2 linked regions of the Sus scrofa genome follow. The protein of the gene in region 2 interacts with the protein of the main gene of each other region in a pairwise test. Links are inferred from orthologs where the notes say so. Each region holds a gene or a part of one and is shown on either strand. Other genes may lie near its edges.

The links.
Region 1: the proteins of NEIL2 (region 2) and MEOX1 interact in binary tests that used the Homo sapiens proteins (3 or more experiments, as listed by UniProt). The two-hybrid records come from large-scale screens. The link is inferred for Sus scrofa from reciprocal best matches to the Homo sapiens genes NEIL2 and MEOX1.

What each region holds. Positions count from the first base shown.
Region 1 is NC_010454.4:19,430,181-19,434,481, reverse strand, and holds the start of MEOX1 (homeobox protein MOX-1), read right to left. Parts: upstream 3,080-4,301; 5' UTR 2,616-3,079; coding exon 2,147-2,615; intron 1-2,146. UniProt on the Homo sapiens protein: Mesodermal transcription factor that plays a key role in somitogenesis and is specifically required for sclerotome development. Required for maintenance of the sclerotome polarity and formation of the cranio-cervical joints.
Region 2 is NC_010456.5:14,943,949-14,948,209, reverse strand, and holds the start of NEIL2 (endonuclease 8-like 2), read right to left. Parts: upstream 3,082-4,261; 5' UTR 2,926-3,081; intron 715-2,925; 5' UTR 713-714; coding exon 575-712; intron 1-574. UniProt on the Homo sapiens protein: Involved in base excision repair of DNA damaged by oxidation or by mutagenic agents. Has DNA glycosylase activity towards 5-hydroxyuracil and other oxidized derivatives of cytosine with a preference for mismatched double-stranded DNA (DNA bubbles).

The sequences.
Region 1 (4,301 bases), on a different chromosome or scaffold from region 2:
TGCTCCTCTGCTGCTTCTGAGGGGACTTGGAGGGAGAACCCAGGGCCCCTCCTGGCTGGGAACCTCCCCCGACCAAAGACAGACCCTCTGAGGAAGGTGTCTTTGTGCCCTGGGGTGGCCAGCTGCTTAGCACATGAGCAGCGCCATCCATGGGCCACTCGCCGAAAGGAGAGACGGTACATTTGGGTCTCGCCAAAACACGGAATGATCTTGCCTACATCCAGCCCTTGGCTTTGCCCGAGTCTTCCCAGTGCCCTTGGCTCCCAGGTCCCTGGATGCAGCCAAGGTGGATGTGGGCAGAGATGGAGGAGCTACGGTGGCAGGCGCCACAGAGGGGAGGGCTCTTCAACGAGGTGCAGAGCCAAGTGGCTGAGAGCTTCTTGGAGAGGAGAAGCAGAAATGCCCCGTTCTCGGCACATCTCCAGCCAAGCCTAGGAATAGGTCAGGATTTAGCCGACTGGGGACTTAAAGGGCCCGTCTACTGAGCAGCCTGGAGGGCTGTGGTTTTTATCATTCATTGCAAGCACACCGAGAGGCTTCTTCAAGCCTGGAGACCCAATATTTCAAAATGAAGAATTGTGCTTGAAATCTACCGAAGGGGGTGGGTTTGGGGTCTGAAGTCTGGGGTTTGAGTTTTCTTCTTGGGTGACTAACTGTCCCTGGGGTGCTGAACTTTCAATGCTAAAACTGGAAAAGTCCTGGCTTCCTTGAGATGAATGGGTCGTTCTGTTTTGACTCCTTGCTAGCAGTGCTCCCCTCAAACTTTTAAGTTTCTCCTTTTCCACGCCTAAAGAATCAAGTCACTGATAAGACCTGCTGTATCAAACTCGAAAACCTGTGGGACTCAAAAGAGCTATGGTATGTTTCCTGCAGCACCTCGAACCCCCTGAATCAGAGCACATCCACTGCCAGACAGGCACCTGCTGACCTCCCCTCCCTCTCCGTTTGCGCTCTTTGGAGGTGGGAGTGAGACCGCCTTTTCATCTCTGCAACCCCAGGGCCTCTTGGCAAAGAGAAGATGCTCGGGAAGTCTGTGCTACGTTGAAAGCGCTTTGTAAAGCAAAGCGGAGCATGTTTTCTTTGGTTGGCTGCTCCTCTCATTTTCAGCCTGCCCCTGGTGAGCCCCAAGAAGGGTCCTCTGTAGGTTCAGACAGTCAGATGTACCCCGAAGCAGTTGTCAGGAAGACACAATGGGGCAGAAGGGGCAGGAGGCCAGGGCACTGTCTTGTGCTGTGTGAGATGGGGGAGGGATCCAGGCCAAAGGTGAACAGGAGGTGAGAGAAGCCCGTGGTGGGGGGCTAGGGGGGGTCCCACTGGGAGATGAGGAAAAAACAGGTCCCCACCACGGGGAGGAGATGGACTTTAGCTGGGATCTTAGCAAGCAGCCCAGCTCCAGCCTCTGGCCTCGGGGGCTCCAGCACCAAGCTGGGCGTTACCTTCACGCCAAGATCCAGTGCTTGCCCTCTGCTGCCTGCCTCCCTGATTCTCTCTGGAGGGCTCCTCAGAGGGGCAGCCTGCCCTGGGGGTCACCCAGACCTTAGCAGGCTGAGCTGACCCTTTGGCCTGGGCCTGGCCTGCTGGGTAGGGTGGTACCTCCTGGGTGGTCGGCCCCAAAGCTCAGTGCTTGCCTCTTGCATCCCCGCCCTGTGCCTGCTCCTCTGCCTCCTGGACACACAGAGTTCTGGTTCTGCTTGGCTGCCCAGGGTCCCAGCCTTGATCTTAACCTTCCAAGTCTCGGTTTTAGCTGATGCCCCTGGGAGCAAGTCCTGGGGCTCTGGGACTGTTTGGAGCTGGCTGGGGTGTGGTGGGGAGAAGCATGACCCAGAGGCAGCCCAGATGCAGGAAAGCCCCTCTGCGGCCCTTGCCAGCCTCTACCCAGAGGCTCCCTCCCACATGCCCTCCAACTCGATGTGGATCCTGTTTCATTCTCTCGCTGGCACATTTTTCTGGGGCCCAGGAAGGCTGGGGACATAGTCATAGCCCCCATCACCAGAGACTCCTGAAACTCCGAGGTAACTGGTCTAGTCCCCGCCTCTGATTAGGTTAGATCCCAATTTACGGTCAGGGCACCTAGGCTCAGAGAGGGCAAGCAACCGCCCCGAGATCACACAGTAAAGGAAACGTCAGCTGTTCCCCAGCCACCTACCTGAACTCTCCTTTTTCCGTCTGGTTGACTTCTTCTCCGTCTCATTGGCACTGCTCCCAAGGACCTCGTAGTCCTCGCCCGGGCCACCCGTGGTGTCCACCAGGCCTGGGCTGCGGGCCCCCATCTCCTTGGAGCCCCCCGCCGGGCCTGGGTTGAGCCTCCGCCGGGCCTCCGAGACAGGGAAGGGCCAGTCAGGGGGTTGTGGGAAGGCGGGGTGCTGCTCAGTGAAGAGGCGCTCCTCCTGGGGCAGGCTGTGCGGGGTGGCCGCCAGGCAGGAGGCCGAGAAGTCAGGGTACGCTGTCGTCGCTGTCGCTGTGAAGTCTGGTTTCTGGTGGAAGGAGAACGGGGTCGGCGGGTAGTGGGGGAGCCCTGAGGCCCCGCTGCCTTCTGAGTGGGGGTTTCGAAGGCAGCCCCAGACCGGGGCTGGGGGGTGGGGGCCCCTCATGCAGCTGCTGGCCACTGGATCCATCTGTCGTCTGCCCCACGTCTCAGTCCTTTCAAAGGCTGGATTGGTATACTTTATACTCAATTTGTTAAAAATGCAAAAAAAAAAAAAAATTTTTTTTTTTTTTTTTTTTTAAACAGAAGAGAAAAATGTTCAACAGAAAAATTCCACCCAGGACCCCAAACAAACACCAAAACTAAAGTCGCTCCTTACGGTCCGCACACAGGTGGCTGGCTCCACACACGTGTGTACACACCTCTATCAGACTTCACTCCTGGCTTCCTGGCCCCCCCGACGCACCAGCTTGCCTATTGGGGTCCCCTGTACGTGTATGTGTCGCTGATGACACTCAACATTTTCACTGTCCCAGCCCAGACGCACCAGCTAAAGAGCGCTTGTCCTGGAGCCTGCAGCAAACGCCTGCAGAGAGCTGGTCCAGGGCTGCTGAGACACACTTTTAAATCCTGCGGTGGGGAGAGAGTGACAAATTTCTGAAGTGAAATGTGAGAGAGGAGAGGGAGGGGTTAACCAGCACACACACCATCCCCTCCAACCAAAACCCGAGCAGGCAACTATTAATCATCAGAAACCTTATATGCACATCTAATGGGATTTGCAGATGGAGTCTTTTAAAGAAACATTGTCTGTATTTTTTTTTTTTTTTTTAAGGAGAGAGAGCAGCACACACACAATTTCTTTAATGTGCCTCCTATAACACTATGAAGTTATTTTATTGCACTGTTAACAAAATTCCCCAAGTCTCGGATTTGGAAAAAGCCTTAAGTCAGATCCAGCATCCATCAAGTGCCAAATTCCAGGGAGTGAAGCTGGGAATAAGTGCAAGAGACAAGTTTGCTGATTGCATTTGATTTAAAGGCCCTTCTACTGCTGCTTGGCAAAAGGAAGGTGGATTAAAAGAAAGCTTTTTTTGCAAGTCTCAGCGGCCCACTACCGTCTATAGTAGAAAGACACACTCTAGAAGAAAAAAAAAAAAAAGGGTTTCTCTCGGCCCAAAGTGACATTCTCACTTTCCCAGTAACTTAAAAAAACAATCAGATTCTTCCTTCCGCTCTTTAACCCCCAACTTACATGCCAATTCGCCACACTCATCTCTAGAGGGGTTTCAAGTCATTTTTCTCCATGGCAAGGGAAAGACTGTCAGATAAGTTCCTTGAAGTTCCTCCAGGCCTCCCCCACCTGCTCTCTGGCCTCCTAACCTTCACCCACCTGCTTCCCCTAACCCCCAGAGGCCAGGGTTTCCATGGAACCTGGGCATGGAAATAGCAATCAGGGCGATTCTCATTCCCAAAGGAGTTCTCTTCGGCACACAGTTGCATGGTCTTCCAGGCTGGTGCCCGTCCCTGGAGGCCCCAAGGCCATTTCAACCGTCCAATTAGTCCACTCAATCCCCAGGCCCTGCTGGTCTCTCTGGAGGGTTAATATAATTTCCTGGAGGGGGAGTTCCCATCGTGGCTCAGTGGTTAATGATTTCAACTATGAGCCATGAGGTTGAGGGTTCAATCCCTGGCCTCGCTCAGTGGGTCAAGGATCTGGCGTTGCCGTGAACTGCGGTGTAGGTTGAAGATGCAGCTTGGATCTAGCGTTGCTGTGGCTCTGGCGTAGGCCGGCAGCTACAGCTCCGATTCGACCCCTAGCCTGGGAACCCACATACGACATGGGCGTAGCCCTAGAAAAAGACAAAAAAAAAAA
Region 2 (4,261 bases):
AGAACCGCAGTCAGAAGGCTGTGCTCTTTCCTCACCTGCTTGCTGGCTCCACAGAATTAAACATGGTTCTCTAAACAAAGGTGCACATCAGAGTCAGCTGAAGTCACCAGAATCTCCAGTTCAGGCCACTGATGCTCACCTGAGGCTGAGAAACATCAGAAGAGATGCTGTGGAGTTCCCATCGTGGCGCAGTGGTTAACGAATCCGACTAGGAACCATGAGGTTGCGGGTTCAGTCCCTGCCCTTGCTCGGTGGGTTAAGGACCCGATGTTGCCGTGAGCTGTGGTGTAGGTTGCAGACGTGGCTCGGATCCCGCGTTGCTGTGGCTCTGGCGTAGGCCAGTGGCTACAGCTCCAATTCAACCCCTAGCCTGGGAACCTCCATATGCCGCGGGGAACGGCCCAAAGAAATAGCAAAAAGACAAAAAAAAAAAAAGAGAGATGCTGTGTGGAGTCTCAGCATGGTTGCCTCAGGCTGGGGGGAGTAGAGAGCATGGAAAGTCTGGAGATAAACTTAGGGGAGGATGTGACAATGGAGCCGGCCCCTCAGGGTGAGGTGCAGACAAGGAACTTACCTGGGCGTCCTGGAGCCACAGCAACTGAAGGCCAGCAGGGTTCAGCTTCTTACTGCTGCCCCCTGTCTTGACCACCTGCTGCCCCACAAAGGGGGAGACCAGATGGTGAAACCTCCTCACAGATGGCCCCTCCGGCATCCCTGCGGGCAGAGGTGGGAGAGGAAGCCACTGACTGAGCCACCGACTGAGCCGTGTTATCTCTAGCATTTCTAACATGGGCCAAGCACTGAACTTTCAAGCTGCTATTTTTTTGCCACCAACTTTAAGAGCAAATACGGCCCCAAAGGGAATGTGGTTAGAGATGGAGGTGTCAGATGAAAGCACCAACAGTGTGCCAGGAATCACACCGCACACGTCCTCAGCTTCCATCCTATGGCAGCCTGAATGGGAGCTGGCCCTTTGGACTTTAGGCCTGGGCTATGGTCCTAACTCATCTCCAGGTTTTTTCTTTCTTTTATTTCTTTCTTTTTTTTTTTTTTTTTTTTGTCTTTTTGCCATTTCCTGGGCCGCTCCAGTGGCATATGGAGGTTCCCAGGCTAGGGGTCGAATCAGAGCTGTAGACACCGGCCTATGCCAGAGCCACAGCAACGTGGGATCTGAGCCGCATCTGCAACCTACACCACAGCTCACGGCAACATCGGGTCCTTAACCCACTGAGAAAGGCCAGGGACCTGGTTCCTAGTTGGATTCCTTAACCACTGCGCCACGATGGGAACTCCATCTCCAGGTTTTTTCTATCCTCTTCCTTCTGCCTCCCCCAAACAATCATTCCAGCCCACAGATGCTGCTTTATCTCCTGCTTTCAGGAGAGAAGGATTTAAAGGCACACTGACAAAGATGTGGATCCAGCCCCACCAGGACCACCCCACTAGAGGGACTGCAGTGTCTGTGATGACAATGCAGAGCTCAGAATCACAGCAAGTGCAGTCCAAGATCATGTCTGGTCAGAACAGGGAGAGGCCACATCCAGCTTAACTATAGCAAACTATCCCTGGGAGTTCCCGTTGTGGATCAGCAGGTTAAGGACCAGAGGTTGTCTCTGTGAGGATGTAGGTTTGATCCCTGGTTTCACTCAGTGGGTTAAGGATCTGGCACTGCCCCAAGCTGCAGCATAGGCCACAGATCCGGTGAAGGCTCCAGCTGTAAAGCTCCCAGCTACAGCTCCCAATCCACCCTTGGCCTGGGAACTTCCATGTGCTGCAGGTGCAGCTGTAAAAAGAAAAAAATAGAGAAAGAAATAACTGAGAAACAGCTGGGCTTCCATTTTAATCTGATGTAAGGGTATCTGTGACTCTCATCTCTCCCCGCCCCAAATCATCCAAGTTCACTGGGAGCTCATATATGAGGCAGTCTGAGTGGTCTGCCCCTAGCTTCTAGGACAGGGAAGGCATCCCCCCACCCTTACCTATTTATCCACCTGCAAAAGACTGCAAGTTATCATGGAAACCCAAAGAACTAATCAGTTTCCTGGCATGGTGGTAGCTACCTGCATTTCATCAATTCTTGAAAGCATTTAAAAAATCTCTCAAAGGGGGGGTGCCTCTTACAATCCATGGTTTCTCATAGTTTGATTAGCAGCACATCCTATAATACATATTTTTAATTTGATGGTGCCCTAGCCTCGCTAAATGTGCTATTTCACATCTTCAAGACCCTGGAGAGACCCTACTAACCAAACTTCAGGGCTATAGGGAGATTGGCCACACTGCGGCTAAGCTGAACCTCAACCAGCAATGTGCGCTGGTCCTCTCCAACCGAGGAAGCTTCTGGAATAGTTCTGATCCTTAAAAACCTTTTGACACAAGGGCATGTTTCTTTTAGGTTTATTCATGGAGATGGAAAACTGGGCAGGGAACTGCCTCTACCGAATCCTTAAAATATCCGAACCGTAAGGGGCACAGATTCGATAAGGTCACCCCGCTACCTTCGAGCCCCTCCCCCCAGCGGTTAACCGCAAGAGGCTAATTAAGGGGCTGCCTAGCGACCGCGCTAAAAGGAGAGGAGCGGGCGTCCCCTTTTCTCAGGACATCATTCACTGTCTGGGGAGGGTCTAAAAGCATCTTCCCAGGGTGCGGGGCGGGCTGGTTGCAGAACCCGGATTGCTCAGGGGCAGAAATGCTAAAAAGTAGTTAACAGCCAAAAAGAAAGATAAATTCAGGTTTCCATAAAAGACGCTTCTAAAAGGTTCGGTAACTGAGTTTTCACGCCGGTAATAAAGTGACGAGGGTAAAGCTTGGGAAAGCCCTGCATTTCCGGCGGGGGACCCGTCACCGCCGAGGACGCGCCGCACCGCTCCCTACCCACCAGCGTAGGTAGCGCGACGCCGCGTGGGAGCTCGCAGCAGGACTCACCGGCTCCTGGGCCGTGGACCCTTGGACCCCAGCAACCGTGAGGCCTGCAGAGGACCCGGCGCCCAGCTTGAGCGCAGGCTCCGCCCCCGGGAGTGGGCACGGGGCTTTATTGGAAGGGAGCGGGGCTCCATCCGGAGGTGGGGCGTGCGTAACTCGAGGTTCCTCCCTCGGGGTGGGGCATATAGGGGCTCCGCCCCCAGGCGAGGAGGGGGCTCTGTCCTGGTGGGGACAGGGAGTGGTGGTGAGGGCGGGGCGAGGTGGGCCGTTCCTGCCCTAAGGGGGTCGCTGGATGCTGGGCAGTTGCCGAGGTTGGGGAGTGTGTCTGAGCAGACGTAGGGAAGAAACAAACCGCCCTTGGAAAGGTCATTGTCTTATACGAAGATAGACTGCTATAGAGAAAATTAAGTTAAACAAGACCACTTTGGGTGGTCAGGCAAAGGGAAGCCTTTTGGTTGGTTTTGCCGGGCCTCCAATCCTAGCGAGGTAATTGTGAAAAGGAAACAAGTTGTCAAGAAATTTTCGTAAAGTTTTTCAAGGGTGGGTTTTTTTTTTTTAATTTTATATTATTTGAATATTATTATTTAAATTTTTACCGTAAACAAATTTTGTTTTAAAAGCAATATTTGGGGAATTGCCTGGTGGCTCAGCGGTGTAAGGACCTGGCATTGTCGCTGCTGAGGCAGTTGGGGCCCTGGTTCTATTCCTAACCGGGAACTTCTGCATGTCCTGGGTGCTGCCAAAAAAAAAAAAAAAAATCGATATTAAACTTCATCGTGTTATTATGGAAATATTACAAAGCAGGGATTCTCAAACTTTAATGTGCATATGAATCACCTGGGAGTCTTTTTTGTTTGTTTTTTTGTTTTGTTTTTCTTTTTAGGGCTGCACCTACCGCATATGAAAGTTCCCTGGCCAGGGGTCAAGTTGGAGCTACAGCTGCTGGTCTCTGCCACAACCATATCTGCAACCTATACTGCAGCTTGTGGCAACGCCGGATCCTTAACCCACTGTTTGAGGCCAGGGATCGAACCTGAATCTTCATGGATACTGTGTCAGGTTCTTAACCTGCTGAGCCACAATGAGAACTCCTTAATCGTGTTTAAATGCAGATTCTGACTCTGGTGTGTAGAGGGCCCAAGATTTTCCTTTTCAACAAGCTCCCAGGAGATGCTGTGGCTGCTGGTGGTCCAGGGACACAGGTGGGACAGCAAGGACTTGGGGCACTGTACTTGGCAGTTGGTGAGCACTTAATAATTACTCTTTGAATGAGTGGTTAAATTAGATATTAGATAATGAAACCCATAAACTATAAAGTGCTATGCAAATGCATGTAGTC